2 linked regions of the Xenopus tropicalis genome follow. The protein of the gene in region 1 interacts with the protein of each later gene in a pairwise test. Links are inferred from orthologs where the notes say so. Each region holds a gene or a part of one and is shown on either strand. Other genes may lie near its edges.

Evidence for each region.
Region 2: the proteins of sec22a (region 1) and sftpc interact in binary tests that used the Homo sapiens proteins (3 or more experiments, as listed by UniProt). The two-hybrid records come from large-scale screens. The link is inferred for Xenopus tropicalis from reciprocal best matches to the Homo sapiens genes SEC22A and SFTPC.

What each region holds. Positions count from the first base shown.
Region 1 is NC_030685.2:88,985,769-88,989,469, forward strand, and holds the end of sec22a (vesicle-trafficking protein SEC22a), read left to right. Parts: intron 1-1,887; coding exon 1,888-1,950; intron 1,951-2,636; coding exon 2,637-2,837; 3' UTR 2,838-3,010; downstream 3,011-3,701. UniProt on the Homo sapiens protein: May be involved in vesicle transport between the ER and the Golgi complex.
Region 2 is NC_030679.2:129,600,032-129,604,563, forward strand, and holds the start of sftpc (pulmonary surfactant-associated protein C proprotein), read left to right. Parts: upstream 1-1,567; 5' UTR 1,568-1,578; coding exon 1,579-1,617; intron 1,618-2,728; coding exon 2,729-2,878; intron 2,879-4,532. UniProt on the Homo sapiens protein: Pulmonary surfactant associated proteins promote alveolar stability by lowering the surface tension at the air-liquid interface in the peripheral air spaces.

The sequences.
Region 1 (3,701 bases):
ACTGTCTCTCCCCCCCCCTCTGGCGTGTGTCACATAAGCTAAATGCACTCTATTCCCTTTCCCTCCTGTCTCTTTCCTGTCACATCAGCTTAATGCACTGAGATTTCCTTTCTGCATGAGCGGCTGCAACTGTCTGTCTGCAGTCTCTGTCTGCCTGTCTCTGTCTGTCTTTCAGTCTTGGTCTCTGTCTAAGGGTCTCGGTCTCTTGTCCGACGGTCAGTCTGTCCGTCTGTCCGACGGTCAGTCTGTCCGTCTGTCCGACGGTCTCTCTGTCTGTCCGACGGTCTCTCTGTCTGTCTTTCTGTCTGTCCGACGGTCTCTCTGTCTGTCCGACGGTCTCTCTGTCTTTCTGTCTGTCCGACGGTCTCGGTCTCTCTGTCTGACGGTCTCTTGTCCGTCGGTCTCTCGGTCTGTCTGTCAGGCCCCCTGGGGTAACTTGGCAGCGGCCCCCTGGGGCTGATGGTGTAGTTTTGCTGCCTGAATGTCAGAAATAGGGGGTCTCTCTGCAGCTTTCAAATGGGGGTCACTGACCCCGGCAGCCAAACCCTATTGCTCTGTGAGGCTCCAGTTTTATTGTTATTGTTACTTTTTATTCCTTATCTTTCTATTCAGCCCCTCCCCTATTCATATATCTCATTGGTTGCTAAGGTATCTTGGACCCTAGCAACCAACTGTCTGCTGAAACTTCAACCTGCAGAGCTGCTGAATTGAAAATAAAATAACTAAAAAACTACAAATAATAAAAACTAAAGACCAACTGCAAACAAAGATATTGTTACATCACCGCAATCTACAACTTCATAAAACGGGAGTTTCCCTTTAAAAAAAAAAAAAACAACCCCACAAAGATGAAGTAAATGTAATTGAATTCCCGATATTCGGGCTCCCGGGCCCCGCTGCACGGCACTTAATGGCAGTTTATGAGTAAATAAAGTTTATTGCTAAATCTTTTAATCTAAACTGCCAGTTTCAGGCACTGAGTGGGGAAGGTGCCTGTGTGTGGAGGTGCCACAGTGGCCCCTAGTGGCCGGGCTGCGATATTACAGACGCTCTCATTGGCAGCTTAGGCAATTCTGATTTTTGGGTTTGATTTTGCTCAGATATCTGTCCCTTGGGATCTCATCTTTGTCTCTTACCCAGCAGCACTCTCTGTGCTGCCGGCGCTCTCACTCTCTACTGCCGACACCCTCTGCGCTGCCGGCGCTCTCTCGCTCTCTGTGCTGCCGGCGCTCTCACTCTCTACTGCCGTCACCCTCTGCGCTGCCGGCGCTCTCTCGCTCTCTGCGCTGCCGGCGCTCTCTCGCTCTCTCTGCGCTGCCGGCGCTCTCTCGCTCTCTCTGCGCTGCCGGCGCTCTCTCGCTCTCTCTGCGCTGCCGGCGCTCTCTCGCTCTCTCTGCGCTGCCGGCGCTCTCTCGCTCTCTCTGCGCTGCCGGCGCTCTCTCGCTCTCTCTGCGCTGCCGGCGCTCTCTCGCTCTCTCTGCGCTGCCGGCGCTCTCTCGCTCTCTCTGCGCTGCCGGCGCTCTCTTTACATTTCTTTCTAAAGTTATGGAGTTTGTGGGGTCAGCGGTATATGGTTATTACTTCATTTCCATCTGCCAGACTGTCATTCTCACCAATACCTGGTTACCAGGGCATGTGTGACCCTAGCAACCAGATGAACGTTTAAAGGAGACATATTGGATAAAGGAAACCCCTAACCCTGTAGGCAATTATGAATAATATCCGGTGCTGGTTTCCCTTTGGGCTAAACATTAACCCTATCTGTAACAATGGCCCCTTTATTGGAGCTCCCTATAGATCCTCTCAGGTCCCTGTCTGGGTTTCACATGAGGGGTGGGCGTGTCCTAACACCCCCCCAAATTCACTTTCTTTAACAATATTTTGCAGAATGACGACGATTTGAACTGCGTTATTGCTTTCTTCTTGGGAACCGCAGCCTGTATGTACCAGGTAAGTGCCCCCCCCCCCCCCCCAGTCATTCCGACTCCTGAATTCCACCCTATACCCAGCGCAGTGGGGCCCCCCTGACTCCTGAATTCCACCCTATACCCAGCGCAGTGGGGCCCCCCTGACTCCTGAATTGCACCCTATACCCAGCGCAGTGGGGCCCCCCTGACTCCTGAATTCCACCCTATACCCAGCGCAGTGGGGCCCCCCTGACTCCTGAATTCCACCCTATACCCAGTGCAGTGGGGCCCCCCTGACTCCTGAATTCCACCCTATGCCCAGCGCAGTGGGGCCCCCCTGACTCCTGAATTCCACCCGATACCCAGCGCAGTGGGGCCCCCCTGACTCCTGAATTCCACCTGATACCCAGGGCAGTGGGGCCCCCCTGACTCCTGAATTCCACCTGGGAAACTAAGAATATTCCTAAATGCCCCCCCAAGTCAGGTTAAAATTAAATACAAAATAAAAGACCAATTGCAAATCATATTAAAGGGGAACATCCCCTGGGGGTTGGAAGTGCTCCCCCTGCTGGGGAGACCATGGTGCTGATTGGATCAGAATGGACCCAGTTGGCCGGGGGTTGGGCCCAATCTGGTGCTGATACAGGAGGGCTCCCATTGGCTCTGCTTCTTACTCTCGAGTCCCGTTGGGTTGGGCCTGTGGGTAATTCTGTCCCGTTGCCCCCGCAGTGCTACCTGTTTGCCCACAGTACCAGCTGGAGGAACACCAAGTCCTTCCTGGCGTTTGGGCTGATCTGCCTGTGTAACCTGTACCTGCACGACCTGCGCTCCCTCCTGCAGCTCCTCTTCCACGTCAGCGCCGGCGCCTTCATCACCCTCCAGATCCGACTGCGCCAGCCGCTGAGCAAGTCTCCCGACTATAACGTGTGACTGGGCCGGAACCGGCACTGCTGGGCCCCCGCACCCGAACCTCTGGGGTACGGCACATTCCTCCCCTCCCCCAGGGATTTTACCTCAATGTTCCTTTAGCAAAGACTCACTTTGTGTTATTGCCTTTGTAAGGCAGCGATACTGTCTGTATAATAAACCCTGACTCCGGGGCCCTCCTGCTGTCCCGTCTGCCTTCCTCTGCTACTGGGGGGATTGGATTCACTTACCCAGGGGGGAGGTTCCTGCCTGACCATGGGAAAGAGAGCAGCCCAGGAGCAGGAAGTACAGAGAATCAGAGCTCTGTACCTGGGTAAGTACTGGGGGGAGATTGGATTCACTTACCCAGGGGGAGGTTCCTACCTGACCATGGGAAAGAGAGCAGCCCAGGAGCAGGAAGTACAGAGAATCAGAGCTCTGTACCTGGGTAAGTACTGGGGGGAGATTGGATTCACTTACCCAGGGGGAGGTTCCTGCCTGACCATGGGAAAGAGAGCAGCCCAGGAGCAGGAAGTACAGAGAATCAGAGCTCTGTACCTGGGTAAGTACTGGGGGGAGATTGGATTCACTTACCCAGGGGGAGGTTCCTACCTGACCATGGGAAAGAGAGCAGCCCAGGAGCAGGAAGTACAGAGAATCAGAGCTCTGTACCTGGGTAAGTACTGGGGGGAGATTGGATTCACTTACCCAGGGGGAGGTTCCTGCCTGACCATGGGAAAGAGAGCAGCCCAGGAGCAGGAAGTACAGAGAATCAGAGCTCTGTACCTGGGTAAGTACTGGGGGGGAGATTGGATTCACTTACCCAGGGGGGGGTGGGTTCCTGCCTGACCATGGGAAAGAGAGCAGCCCAGGAGCAGGAAGTACAGA
Region 2 (4,532 bases), on another chromosome or scaffold:
GTAATGGAAACGGTCTTTTGAACATATAAAAGGGGAGGACATTTGAGATTAAACATGTTATGTTAGTCCACTACTGAGGAGTGTTTATGAGAGATGTTCATGTTGTAATTAAGATTTAGAATGATTTAGATATCGGTTTTCAAGGCAGGTAAAGCTGCAGTCATCAGGAAAATGCAAGTCTAAGCCTCTGGGTGCTGAAAGTGGGTCCAGGTGCAGAGTATGGAAAACATTGTGGCTTATGCCTGCTTTTTGCACTTTGCACCTTGCCCTGTTGGTTTGTAAATGAGACCTAATGGGTGCTCTTACCACATTATACAGTTATCCATCCCACCTAGTTGAAGGCCCAGTGTGCTATATCATGGCCACTTACAATTCACACTGGTCTATATATTAGTATTGTCTACTATGCAGAGCTAAAGCCCAGAGGCTACTAGACACACTCTTATTAGACTAGACACACTCTTACAGACGCCATATGTTGTCCAGAAGACCAAGCCATGTGTTCATAAATTATTCCACCAGATGACACTCCGTATATGCTTGGTTCCACACAAGGCCATTAACTATTATCTGGTCAAATTAGCCCTTCATATTCTTGTGAAAACATTTTTACTATGTTGGTGGACTCTGTAACTGTAACCAGAACCATAACTAAAACATGAACATGGTGGCGAAGTGAGGTGGTGATTTCCTCCAAGATCTATAGGGCCAGAAGTATATACTGTATGTGCCACCTATGCCTGGTATGCATGCTGCCATGACTTAAAGCAGCAAATAATCTATTTTCTGTTGGACCACTACTTGACATTGGTATGTGGCTGTGACTGTTGGATACATGATTGCACCTTTACTGGCTAATGGGTCATACTGGTCCATTTGATCCTCTTCCAGTCCTACCTGTGCCCTTCTCAAGCAATTGCCCTATGTTACAGAATTTATAACAACATTGTCAAAATAGCAAAACAGGTTCATCTTCCTGGAGTACACAACTTGGTTCTCATGTTCTGTGGATTACAGGATCTATGGCTGCACCTGGGACTTCTGGCTCGTGGTCAAAGGTTCTCCAGCACTAAAACCAGGGAACATTTGGAAGAAGCCTGGGGAAAATTCTTGCAGAGGGTACTACAAACAGTCTGCTAAACATCTTTGTTGAATTGCACAAACTGTGTTGAAAGACTTAATTTGTGCATGAGAATGAAATACGATTCCCACTCTAAAGGAAGGTGAATTAGAAGACTGGGATTAATGCACTTTATTAATTTTATAAATATTGCAGTAGGTTTGACATTTCTCTGTAAAGCGTGGTGCAAAATGGGCAGCAATTACAGCAATCTTAAATCTAAATATAATAATTTGAATATAATGTTGAAACCCTGTGCAGACTGTGCCAATAAAGCGTCAATTATTAAAGCCTCTTAAAGCCCTAAGAAGTGCTTCTGTTCTTTAAACACAAGTAGAGTATGCGCAAACACTCAGAAAAGGGGCGGGAAACACTTCAATGCTATTATTCTTATTCAGGCAGGTATAAAAAGTGGACCAACCTCAGCAAAGGTAGACTGCTGCATTACCCACAAAGACATGGACCAGAGCAAAGCTGTCCTCATGGAGAGGCCACCCGTAAGTAACATGGGTGTGTTAACTTGGAAACACTCTGCAGATTGTGCGTCAGACCCTAGTGGGTCTATTAGAGCAACAATGTAAGGAGTGTGATGTAAAAATGCTTTACACTGTGCAACAGTAGAATCAGTAGAAGCAGCTCTCACAGGTCTATTAACCTTACTGGGACTCATTTATCAACACTGGGCAAATTTGTCCATAGGCAGTAGCCCATAGCAACCAATCAGTGATTGGCTTTTTTCAGCCAGTTGCAGCAACAATTTAATTGGTTGCTGTGGGTCACTGTGCATGGGCAACTTTGCCCAATGTTGATAAATTAACCATATCTGATGGCATGGTTTTCAGATCAGTGGGGACAGAAAAAAAAAAGGAATATCTGTATGGATTGAGGATAAAGGTTGAGCTCTACAACTCTACAATGGATAAAAGTGAATATAGACCACTGAATGTTGCATCACTGGGGTCTAAATACATCTATTATTGCTACTAAAGAGCAGTGTCAGACTGGCCCATTAGGATACCAGGAAAACTCCCGGTGGGCCCAGGTGTCAGTGGGCCCTTCTGCTCCTGACCATTTGGTCTGTTTCATGCTCATTCCCTATTTCTGAATGGGTACAAAGAGGAGAAATAGATGGAAGAATAGATGCTAGCATGTAAATAAAAGAGACTAGGAGAATAAAGAGGTTGGGTGAGGAAAGAAGGAAAAATAGTTTGGAAAGCGGGCCTAGGGTCTAAGGATTTCTGGTGGGCCCCTGTGTTCCCAGTCTGACACTGTGCTTGTATCTAGGGTTGGGGGGTCCAAACTGAGCCAATCAGGTTAGATGGGGTATCCATAGCCTGATGTGGTTCTTATCAGTCTTTCTGATCAATATATGTCTGTATGGATGTCAGGGTTGAACCTGACCCTTGCCGGCACTCCCCCTGCCGACCGCTCCTCCCCTGATGCGTTAAATTACGTGCGATCGGTGGAGGCCGTCGGGTGGGGGCCCCTGCGGGGGGGAATTAGGGTGGGAACCTGGTGGGCCCTTCACCCCCCAGTCCGACCCTGCTAAAGAGAAGCTTTGGAAGAAACACCAACTTGACTGTATCTAACACCCTACTGTCTTTGCAGGTCTATTCGGAGTTGCCAATTCCCAGCATCCCATGTCTCGGTGGTGTTAAGAAGCTTGTCTGCGTGGTCCTTGTGGTGGTGGTCCTTGTGCTTGTCCTTGTTGGAGTCCTACTGATGGGGCTGCACATGAGTCAAAAACACACAGAAACGGTGAGACTTTGAATTTTACAACAAATTGCATGATCACATTTAAAAAACACAGCGTGTAATCAATAGATTAGCCTGCAAAAATATCTCCTTGTTAATAAAGGGGTTTCACTTGTGTCTGTAAGCTGGTCACACACTCAACCACCAATTAGTACTTTAGTGAGCCCAGAACAAAAAGAACAAAGTATCTGATTTTGATCAATGGATGGGTAATTAGTGTTACTCAATCATAAGCCAGTTACAAAGGGATATACAAATCCGAGCAGAAGATAGGAGATCATAATTTAAATGAAAAAAAATATCCTCTTTTTAATTAATTATACAATTTATTGTTAATGAGCAGACTAATATATGTGTGTCCTGTGTAATGAATAGATTAATGAACAAAACAGCAAATCCAGAAAAATTAGCACATGCCTGTAAGAAACAGCCCCGCTAATTAAAAAGGCCGGATTAATTAGCAGGCAGTTCATTATAGAGCAGAAAGCCCTTATATAAAGAAATGACCCCACTAATGAGAAGAGCCGAGACGAATAAGGACACTGCCTCATATAAAGACTGATCACGTTATTCAGCTGCCTATGTAATGGGCAATCCCAGCCTCATTTATTGAGCAGAATCCTAATTAGTCAATAATATGTCAGAGTAAGGATGATGCTAATTAATGAACAATCCTGGGGACACAGATACATTTAGAACTCCAGTTAGTTTCCCATAGTCTGATTTTTAGAATTCAGATGATTTAGCCTCACAGTAAATGAACCTTAAATGGAATGTTCTCCTGAATAACCCACTTACTTGTCACTACCAATCAAACAAGCAGTTTCTTTCCACCCCATTACTGGGGTGGTGTCTCGGTTAATTACTATATGCAGGGCAGCATGCAAAGTACAAAAAATGGGGTACGATCATGTGCTCTGCATGTAGGTAAATTGCCACAGGTATCTACACTCTATACCGTAGTGCAGAGACCTGTGTTGGCCCATGAATACAGCACTACCTTCACTCAGCAGTGCTGTATTCATGAGGTGTGGGCAAGGGAGGCATGAAGATGTCCCCCAACCTGTCCCCTAACTTGCATTTTCCCTTAACTTACGCACTCTTGCATCCCCTTTGTGCTCTTGCATTTGTGTCTAGGGTCTCAGCTAATGATTCCTAATGTCTCAAGTCCAACAGCTAAACATAAAAAACTTCATTCACAGACCCATAGCTACATGTAATAGGCAGTGAATAAATAGAACAGGGATTGGTAACTTATAGGTCAAGAGGACCCAGAAATTGGTTCCTATCCTGTTTAGGGTAGGTCCCCATGTTTCCCTTTAATAATGTAAAGACAATACAATACTAAATAGTAATTATAATAAATGAAGTATATTACTTAAGATCAATTAAAGGGGCATGAAGCTAATTTGCTAGTTAATTTTCAGTCCCCTGTTAAGCAGTTCAAGAGCCACTAATTTTAGCGCCTAGTAACCCTTCCCTAGGTGCAGAGAGAGAGGCAACTGACCCCCAGAGAGAGAGAGGCTACTGACCCCCAGGGAGAGAGCGAGGCTACTGACCCCCAGGGAGAGAGCGAGGCTACTGACTCCCAGGGAGAGAGCGAGGCTACTGACTCCCAGGGAGAGAGCGAGGCTACTGACTCCCAGGGAGAGAGCGA